Saccharomyces cerevisiae S288C: one gene and its partner. The protein of the gene in region 2 interacts with the protein of the main gene of each other region in a biochemical or structural test. Each region holds a gene or a part of one and is shown on either strand. Other genes may lie near its edges.

Region 1 (5,468 bases), on a different chromosome or scaffold from region 2:
CGCTGTGTTTTTTTTCTGTTGTTTTGTTGTTATGCTGTTCTTTAGCTCAAAAAATTGGCCACTGTTCCCCGCTCTGTAAATTAATTGCTCTTAAAGAAACAAAAATGATTAAAAAAAATTAGAAATATTTGAGATAATAAGAACATCATTCAGGTCGCCCATATTCACAATTATTTACAGACTGTATTTTAATGAAGAATGTGTGCATAACTTGATGGTACCTATTCAATATAAAATTTGATAAATAAATAATATTATAAAAATGTCTATGTAATTATTATAAAGCTCTAGAGTATGTATGAGTTGTTACACATAGCATTCCAATGAGTACTTGCTTTTTTCTTCGTTCTTTAGACATTTCAGAAGAATATTCTTTATCTTGTCATTGTTACTGCAACTACTATTATAGTATTATTAGTATTATTGTTGGTATTGTTACTATATATTTACGCTTAAAAACTCCAAATTCAGACCCCAAAATATAATTTAAATAAACATTATCATTTCCCCTCATTCCCGTTGACCTCATGAACTAGCGGTGAATTATGTACTTTTCTTCTGTATTCTAGAACTATGTCACCCTGAGATTTCCAGTAAAGTGTTCTAACGGTATTTAAAGTCATATCGTTATCAAGCACTTGGCCCCTACATAGTAGATCCAACCAAAGACTAGGTTCCATTTTTGCTTTCATTTCAGGAGTTTTCGTTTCAAATCTGTCAGCGACGTAAAGTTTAATTTTTTTCACCCTAATCATTCCAGGCGCAACCAGCTTGACATTCGCCTCAGAGATTCTCGGTAAATCTGTGGGGTTTAACTCCTGCTCGCTGGTCTTCGGACGGCCAAACTTTAGCATATTATGGAACTGTTGCTGTGTTGATGGGGAAACGGCTTCATTACCATTTCCAAGGCTGCTATCGCTACTATCGTTGCCAGAAGATTCTGTGGTATCTGATGCACTAATAAACTTCTTCTTGTTTTCATTGCCAGCTGCCTCACTCCCACCAACAGAAGACCATGGCATGATTAAGAAGTTCAACTTTGGTTGCTCTTCCACCGTCTTAATATCTCTAAATAAAGCTTTTGCAAACCAGTAGGGCAAATTTTCCTCCAATTGCTCAAAAATTTGCCTTCTGTTGAGTCTGCTTCCTAACTCGCCATCAATAAGATCATATTTTCCTAATTTGTCATCATCTACAGCTTGAAGGTCTACTTCTTCATCATCTGGCGGTTTGGAATTTTCTTTGCCGCCGCTGACGGTTTCATTATCGACATGAGATGGCGGTAATAGGGTGGAAAATAATACCCTGCCACCACATGAGCCTTCCTTCCAAAGATGGACCAAAACTAACGTGGCAGATTTTACTCTAATAATTGGACATGAACTAGCCTTGATTATCTTGGTGACTGGAAGCCTCTTCGTCAGGTATTTTAGAGAAGAAGTATTCATATATTGTTGCTTGTAAGACTCTTGAATTTGCTCCAGTAAATCGGGCATGAACTCAGGCTTCTTCTTTTCGTTGCCTTCCAAGGTTGACGTGGAATTCGCCCTTGAGTTTTCAGATGATCTTAGTTTGTTATGAGTGTTGTTACTCGGTAAATCTTGTGATGAAATAGCGGATAGTTTTTGCTCTAGCTTGAAAGGATGATTCCATAACATAGATTCTGGAGTTGCATCCTTAGACTGCTGAGTTGTATTGATAGCTTGAGGGAAGGCCGAGTCATCATTAATAACGTGCGGAGTATCTGGCAGAATTCCTTTGGGCTCCTCTGGAGTGTTTAACCCTGTTGTGGCACGACCAGAAGTAGACCTAAATGATTTGAACTTTCTACTTAACAAGGAGCCAGAGCTCTGCGTTCTAAAATATGGCTTTTTGGATGCAGGCAATGGTTGCACGAGTTCTAAAGAGTCATCTATTGCTTTATCAGAAGCTGACTGCAACAATGGTTGTTCTTCTAATACTATAGTCTCTGCCATTACCGGGGTTGCAGGTGCCGAATTTGGTGGAGTTCCACTGCTGTTGGTATTTCCAATGGACAGAGTTGAACTAATTTTGAAGGTTGATTTTCTCTTTTTATCTTTATTATTCTTTTTTGATTCACTGTTATATCCCGTATCCAAGGTTAATGAATTGGTTAAGTCTTTTTTCTTCAAACTAAAAATTTTCTTCCTTAAAAGTTTATCCTTTTGGACTTCATATGATATGAACTCATTGAAAAGCGAATTAATAACAATTTTACCCAAATTATATCTCTCATCTGAGTTAATTTCAATATTGTTCACAACCTGATAATCCTTTAGCGCGGATCCATAAACTTCAGTTTTCAGAAATTTTGGGTTTATTTTTACGAACAGCATACCGACCTTAACGGAAACAGTACACCAATGAGATAGAATTTCCTTTGAGGTGTATTTCATTACAATATCATCAAATGAACCTTCTGATGAATCAAAAGTATTCAAAAGCTCACATGAAACGATATCCCATCTCTGCATTTGGCCTTTAGTGTTTTCCGTTATTACATGCCTCCTGTTGGTTAGCAGTGAGCTTCTGGTCAGTGCGAACCCACCTTCGTTGACACTGAAATGGTTATTAGTTAAATCGAGCACGTTTAGATTTGAGTCAGTACAAAAAGAAAACAACAATTTTTCATTAGGTAAAAGGGCAATATCAAGGATACCACCATATTTTTTTACTTTCGCATCTGTAGTTGATATATTTTGCTCTTCGTGTTCATGGTGATGATGATGATGGTGGTGATGATCAGGCTTGAAAATTCTTGTAAGTTTAGCATCTTCATAACTGGATAAGTTTGCTCTCATAACATTGCCCTGAGAGTCACCAAAATACAACTTATCAAGGCTCGTTCCTTGGACACACCATATGGAAGAATCCCAGGACCAAGATCCAATTTTTTTGGGAAGCTGAAGGGCACCAGTAGTCTGATCATGCCTACAATTCAAGTCCCATACATTTATTACACCATCTGAGCTGGTACTGATTAGTCGTGTGGAGTCATCAAGAGTTCTTACTACTTTTATATTTGTTCTGTGGGCGTTTTGAATTCTTATCACCTCCTTACGATATTTACACGAATAAAAAATCAAATCACCATTACAGTCTCCGGCAACAAAATCAAAGGGACGAGACGTTTGATTGTCATCAAAACTGTATTTTGGGATGATGGGACTCATGGAGTATATTGAGCCTGTGTCGTTTGATTGTGCATTATCAAATGTGTGTAGTAGCGTAGCCATTTTTTCTGGCCCGCTGCTCAGGCACCAAAGTTTGATTTTTCTATCTAGACCACCTGTCACAAAAAGAAAGTTGTTCTGTTCATCAACAACAATGCCATTATTTATTCCATCGTGTACATTATCAGGACCACCCTCTTGTTCTTCCAATTCATAGTCATTTGACATTTCATAATGTATGGGCACTATGCACTTGATATAATCGTCGTGGTCACCGATTATTTTCTTATCCCAGGTAGTTAACTGCGCATTCACACTAATTAATACTATCGAAAAATCGTGACTTACTGATATGAATGTGTCCCCTGCAGATGGGTCTGAATTTTTCATATTAACATGTATTAGATCGCTTGCCCAATCGCTATGAACTTGCATTCTTATCGCATCGTTTTTTATGGTAGTTGCAGCAGTCTCAGGCTCGTTCGAGAGCTGTGTGTTCTTGTGCAAAATTATGGAACCATCCCTTCCTGAAGTAAGAAAATAGTTTTTACCAGGTATATCCGGGTACAGAATCTTTGTTATCGGTAAGATGTGCGCATCTTGGGAAGTGCAGTAATCTGGGGAAATTAGGCCATAACTCACTGTCAACTGATTCATTATTACCTTTCTATTTTCTCCGGCTTTTTATTGGCTTGCTCTTCTAAAGTCAGAAAAGCGTAGATTTGCTAGAATGTATCGTTTCCTCGTTAGGAATGGCTTGAACTAATTCCTGTATCTATGCAATTGCAATCCAACTACACTTATACGACGTCAAAAGGAAGGGGCGGAGCGTTCTAATTGTAGTTGCAAAAAGCGATGTAGTCGTTCTTCAAGTAGTAATTAATACCAGGATAGGACACGGTGTTATGGTGCTGGTAGTTACTTGTTATAATGTTATTATTGGGCAAAAAGAGAGTTCACTGTTTAACAATAGCAATGGGGTTTTTTTCAGTATACATTTGAACTGCAATGGAATTTGGGCGGAGGGAGCAGTAAAGGGGCGATCAGAGTTGAAAAAAAAATGCTGCCGTAAAAAAAGCATGCACGTATACACTTGAGTAAATATATTTATGTATTCATATCTCAAGATAAGATCATGATACATAAAAGCGATATAACGTCTTGAAGCTCAGGTAAGGGGCTAGTAGATGCAATGAATGACGATGAAGATAGAGCCCAACTGAAGGCTAGGCTGTGGATCCGTGTGGAAGAACGATTACAACAGGTGTTGTCCTCTGAGGACATAAAATACACACCGAGATTCATCAACTCATTGCTGGAGTTAGCATATCTACAATTGGGTGAAATGGGGAGCGATTTGCAGGCATTTGCTCGGCATGCCGGTAGAGGTGTGGTCAATAAGAGCGACCTCATGCTATACCTGAGAAAGCAACCTGACCTACAGGAAAGAGTTACTCAAGAATAAGAATTTTCGTTTTAAAACCTAAGAGTCACTTTAAAATTTGTATACACTTATTTTTTTTATAACTTATTTAATAATAAAAATCATAAATCATAAGAAATTCGCTTATTTAGAAGTGTCAACAACGTATCTACCAACGATTTGACCCTTTTCCATCTTTTCGTAAATTTCTGGCAAGGTAGACAAGCCGACAACCTTGATTGGAGACTTGACCAAACCTCTGGCGAAGAAGTCCAAAGCTTCTCTGGTGTCAGCTCTGTTACCGACGTAAGAACCAACAATAGAGATGGACTTGACGACTTGGTTGAAGACATCAGAACAACACTTGGCACCAGCTGGCATACCGACCAAAACGGTGGTACCGTTAGCTCTAACGTATCTGGTAGAAGCTTCAATAGCGGCTTCGGAAACGGAAACGTTGATGACACCGTGAGCACCACCGTCAGTGGCCTTTAGAACAGCACCGACAATGTCCTTTTCCTTAGTGAAGTCAATGAAGACTTCACCACCGATGGATCTGAATAATTCTTCCTTACCTTCACCACCGTCAATACCCAAGACTCTGTAACCCATAGCCTTGGCGTATTGAACAGCCAAAGAACCTAGACCACCAGCAGCACCGGAGATAGCAACCCAGTGACCGGCCATCAAGTTAGCAGACTTCAAAGCCTTGTAGACGGTGATACCAGCACACAAGATGGGGGCGACTTGGGCCAAGTCGGTACCTTGAGGAATGTGAGCGGCTTGAACAGCGTCAGCGGTAGCGTATTGTTGGAAAGAACCGTCGTGGGTGTAACCAGACAAGTCAGCGT
Region 2 (4,744 bases):
CAAAAAGCTAACGAGGTTTCAAAAATGGTGCTTGTTGGTGATGTTACCAATAAATCATGTTTATTAGTTGATGATATGGCGGATACTTGTGGTACGTTGGTAAAAGCTTGTGATACGTTGATGGAGCATGGTGCCAAAGAAGTTATAGCTATTGTTACACACGGTATTTTCTCCGGTTCAGCAAGAGAAAAGCTAAGAAATAGTAGATTGTCTAGAATTGTTTGCACAAATACCGTTCCGGTAGATTTGGATTTACCTATTGCTGACCAGATCGATATTAGTCCCACGTTCGCTGAAGCTATAAGAAGACTACACAATGGTGAATCCGTGTCATATTTGTTCACCCATGCTCCAGTATAGGACAATTTTTTATTCTTAGATTCCTGATTGCTTGCATGCCTAAATACTTCATAATTGTATTAGTTTAAAAGAAAACCTTTTACTGAGACAAAACTATAAATTTAAGAAAAAGGTTCCGGAGCCGGTTTAAAAAAAGAAGATTAAAGATATTATATTTATGTAAGAATTAAATTAATACTGTCAGAGAAAAAATAGTTTTAAAGGAGACGGTGAACCTTTACCTTCCTTGATATGCAAATATTTTTCAGCTTTTCCTAAAACTAAACATTCTCGACTTTTTTTTAGAAGACTTTATGGGTGTGTTAGAAACAAAGCTGTCGTCTATAGCAGTATCCAAATCGTCTGCTATAGGCAGCTCTTCCTTTTTCTTTTGACCACTATTGCAAGTTCTTAGCCAATCATCGTACTTGATTAGATTGTCTATATTATCATCTTGTTCTTTTGCCATATTTTCACGATCATTCTTTTCAACAGCGTTTGAATACATCGCTTTATAAAACAAAACATATGCTGTTGCCATATTTGGAGATTCACCTGTGAATTCTAACACTGTTTCCTCTTTAACTGCCTCTACCGTTTCGTCATCAAATAACAACCAGCCAAACTTTTCATGTTTACATAGGGAAACATAATGGCCGTGTTGTGGCCCACCGCCCATATGAACGACAATCCCAGCCAATTCATACTTTTGACAAACCTTAGAATTTATTGAAGAGCAAACATTTAGCGTCAGAGGATAGTGAATGTTATTAAAAAGCTTAATATTACAGTTTTGTTTCTCAGAATACTTGAATCTTTTCAAGTGTAATGTTAAAGTATCAGGCAATTGCTTCAAACCAACTAATCTCTCTGCCTCCTGTAAACCGCAACATTCGTCACAATAAAACTTGTTTGAGCCATTTAGCATTTCTCGCTGGTGATAACTTTTCAAAATTTCCTGTATATCTGTTTCCTCATCTCCCTGAACTTCTATGGGGAAATCCAAAAATGGCTCATCCCTAGATGTAATGTTATCGCACGTCAGACATTTTATTTGATTCGTTAAAGTGCCTTGAAACAAGTCACTGATGAAATTTTTACTCTTACTCGGTTCGCTATCGCTGTTGATATCACTGGCTGCTATTTTTTTATTCTCACGTTCTATATATTCACTCAACTCGTTTAATAAGAAATTGAAAAATTCGTGAGCATCCTGATGCATAGTAGTATTAAATAATACATTTTCTCTTTTGAGAACATCAACAAAAGAGCTAGGCGATACAACACCAGTTAAATACGTATTCTCAGTTATGCATTCAAAGATATCTCTCAAACTGGAATACAAAGTAGCCTTATCTGAGCCGTTTAAGCTATGGTCAATATTGAGCACTGGCCCACGAATAAGTGCGGATTTCTTTCTATGTTCTGGGGATATTTGAGAAGAGGAACTAGATCTTCTAGTATCTTTTTTATCAAGTGGAGTGGATAAGCTGCTATTACTTTCTCCTTTCAAGTCCAGGTTATTACTATTACTGCTACCTCTTGAAGGATTTTCATAATTGAGAACTCTGCCAACAATTATTTTACGCGGAACATCCGGAGGTCTATCTGTGACGTTCTCGAAACTCAATCTGCTCGGAGCACCAGGCTCATTAGGTGTTTCGACTATCAATGGAGGTGCGTCTTGAGGACGAGAAGAGGGTTTTCCAGTGGTTAATATAGCAGGACTTCCTTCCTTTTTATTATTGTCTTGTACATGTTTCGCGCTAAAACTTTTAAAAAATTTACTCTTCTTCTCTGAAGGCCCAGCTGTATTTGAATTTACAGAATTTACAGGGGTAGGCTTTCCATCATCAACAGATTGAGGTTTAGGGTTAGGCAAATGTCCATTGGTACCAGCAATGCTTTTCTCAAAACTTGCTTCGGTAAATATTCTTGGTTTCTTACCTCTCATTTCTTTCTTTCTTGGTTGATCAGATTCTCTTGATTTTTTTGGAAATTGCAATATATTTTCACGTAATGAGGACAGATTATAGAGACATTGAAGAACTGAGTTACAGTAACATGTATTGCCAAAATTTTCGTATCCAAAAACTTTGTTGGAGCCGTCTCCATAGGGCATTGAGTCGGACACCTTCATAGCTAATATGGGTGCCTCGGGCCCTTGCGTGATAATGCCTCCGTATGCGTTTATAGCCTTTGCGTTTGAAATATAAAATATCCCATCCTGGCTGTAATTACTGCCTTGATTGCACGTTTCAGAAGAATAGTCTAGTCCGGAAGAAATCTGCAAATTATTGTCTTCATTCAAAAAAGTTTCCTTGGTATCCAAATTAGAGACAAACAATGAGCTAGAGGGATTATCGGATGATTCGCTATAACAGAGTTCATCATTTATATCGTGGTTTACAGGCTTAAAGTCAACCTTTTCTACTTCTTCTGTAATGGTATCATTAACAGCCTTTTTCTTCTTCCCAGACTTACTTATAGTTAGCCATCTTCTGATCATGATTGCGCCCTTCTTGCGTGGGTTTAGTATGTTAATGAAAGTACTGGATCCTTACTAAAGCCGAATTTGGCCCCTTCAACAAATAAAGCTTGATGAGTTGAACAGTCAAAGGGTAAGATCTGGTATAGGCAATAATAATATTATCCAAATGGAAAAAAAAAAAATGAACAGGTGAAAAAAAATCAATTTGAAAACCAAAGAAAAACTCTATTGATTCCTTTGCTGTTGTCGACCTTCTTTCACACAATAGTTCAATTACGTTCTTTGGGTTCTTTATCTTTATAGTTATCTTGCCTCATCTCTATGTTCAACACTTTCGGATCGATGTATTTTTCAGCCTTCCGCTAAAATTGACGACCGTCTCCAAACGAATAGGGATAAAGAAGCAAGGACTGAGCGTTGGAGAAAAAAAAAAAGTTACCGGAATGGGAATAGATAGATACCTATAAGAAGCGTTATCGTTACTCATGAATTTTGGTAAATGCACACGGATAAATGCATGATATATAAAATATTAATAAGAATAAAATAAATAGGTAGTGAATAAATATTCTACTTTGGTGTGGTCATCATTTTACAAAGGAGGGAGGTCGTGATAACAAACTGATAAATAATCCTTAAGTTGATCCATTCTTGAATATTGTTACATTGGAAATAATCCGAAAAAGAATATGTATAAATAAAAGGACTCGAAGTCCTATGTAGCCGTCTTTGCAAATTTTCTTTAATAAATTAGCAGAAAACAAGGGTAATAATATTTCTTAGAATATTAGAAGAATATAGGCGTTAAAAACCTTGTTCCATGTTCATATCGAACCAACCAAAAAAGTCATCATTACTGGAGTTGCCTTCAATCCAGCCTGCACTTTGTTGCTGAAAAAAATCCGTTAGTTTGTTTCCAGGAGTCTTCACGTTGTTTTCATTATCGATGGTTTGGAAGTTAGAAGAAGTTACAGTGTTAGTGCCCGTAGAAAATCGTTGGTTCGTTTTGTTGCTATTGATATCATTACTTTTGGAAAACAAGCTCAGAGGTGGATATGCCGTGCTTTTAGAGGAGCCGGGGTCGGAAACGACGGAATGCAAATCTGTCATATTATTTGACTTCGAAGCAATCGGTGTACGTGAATGGGACATACTACTTTGTGATCTTCCAATCGCGTTGGCGTTGCTGAATTGATTATTATAATTCATGGTGACATTTTGTAAATTACTGTGCTCCCTTGGAATAGGGTGGTCTATTCCCAATGTAACATTATTAGATAAGTTGCCAACGGGGTGGTTCCTTAACCCTGGAACGGACGCAGGAAAATGATTAACGGGAGTGCTTACTGATCTTTTCATGGAGAGATCAGGAATTACACTAGGTCCGTTACTATAATAGTCTACCTTAGTACTTTGTGGATTGTTATTCGAAGCGGGGACAGAAGCCACTGGATAAATTGAATTAGAGGGAATTGATATGTCATTAGACGCATCCAATAACGTCCTATTATTATTATAATCGTTACTATTCGAGGTATTAGCGAATAAACTTTGAAATTTTACGCTGCCTGTTTCCCCGAGCATGGAAAGAGGTATCCCGTTAATCTCCATTATAGAACCGTCAGAATCTCCGTTATTTGTCTTGGCTAGCTTTTCTGCCTGCTTTAAGGCATTCTTAGTAGGAACTAAAGTGGTAACAGTGGTTCCACTTGGTGTTGTTTTTGTTACAGTTTCAAAGTCATCTCTGGAGATATGGTTATATAGTGGCAATGGATATAGTTTTCTGTCCGTTATGCCACCCGTAGACGAAGTGCCATTGTAGATACCATTTGAGGAAAATTTTCTTTTCTTAGCGGCTTTCTCTAAGGCTTGCTTGTTATATTCGGGATCCATTTCCCTTCTTCTCGCCTCGTG

Evidence for each region. Proteins that work in one complex are often made in the same cells at the same time.
Region 1: the proteins of UBP13 (region 2) and DUF1 form a complex in vitro, tested with the Saccharomyces cerevisiae proteins (one study listed by BioGRID).

What each region holds. Positions count from the first base shown.
Region 1 is NC_001147.6:154,787-160,254, forward strand, and holds DUF1 (Duf1p), read right to left. Parts: upstream 3,852-5,468; coding exon 501-3,851; downstream 1-500. Other genes in the region: MHF1 (Mhf1p), read left to right, coding at 4,387-4,659; alcohol dehydrogenase ADH1, read right to left, coding at 4,762-5,468. UniProt on the Saccharomyces cerevisiae protein: Ubiquitin-binding protein involved in the resistance to phenanthroline, sanguinarine, nordihydroguaiaretic acid (NDGA), isopropyl (N-3-chloro-phenyl)-carbamate (IPCPC) and guanosine 5'-O-(2-thiodiphosphate).
Region 2 is NC_001134.8:93,035-97,778, forward strand, and holds UBP13 (ubiquitin-specific protease UBP13), read right to left. Parts: upstream 2,849-4,744; coding exon 605-2,848; downstream 1-604. Other genes in the region: ribose phosphate diphosphokinase subunit PRS4, read left to right, coding at 1-360; SEF1 (Sef1p), read right to left, coding at 3,635-4,744.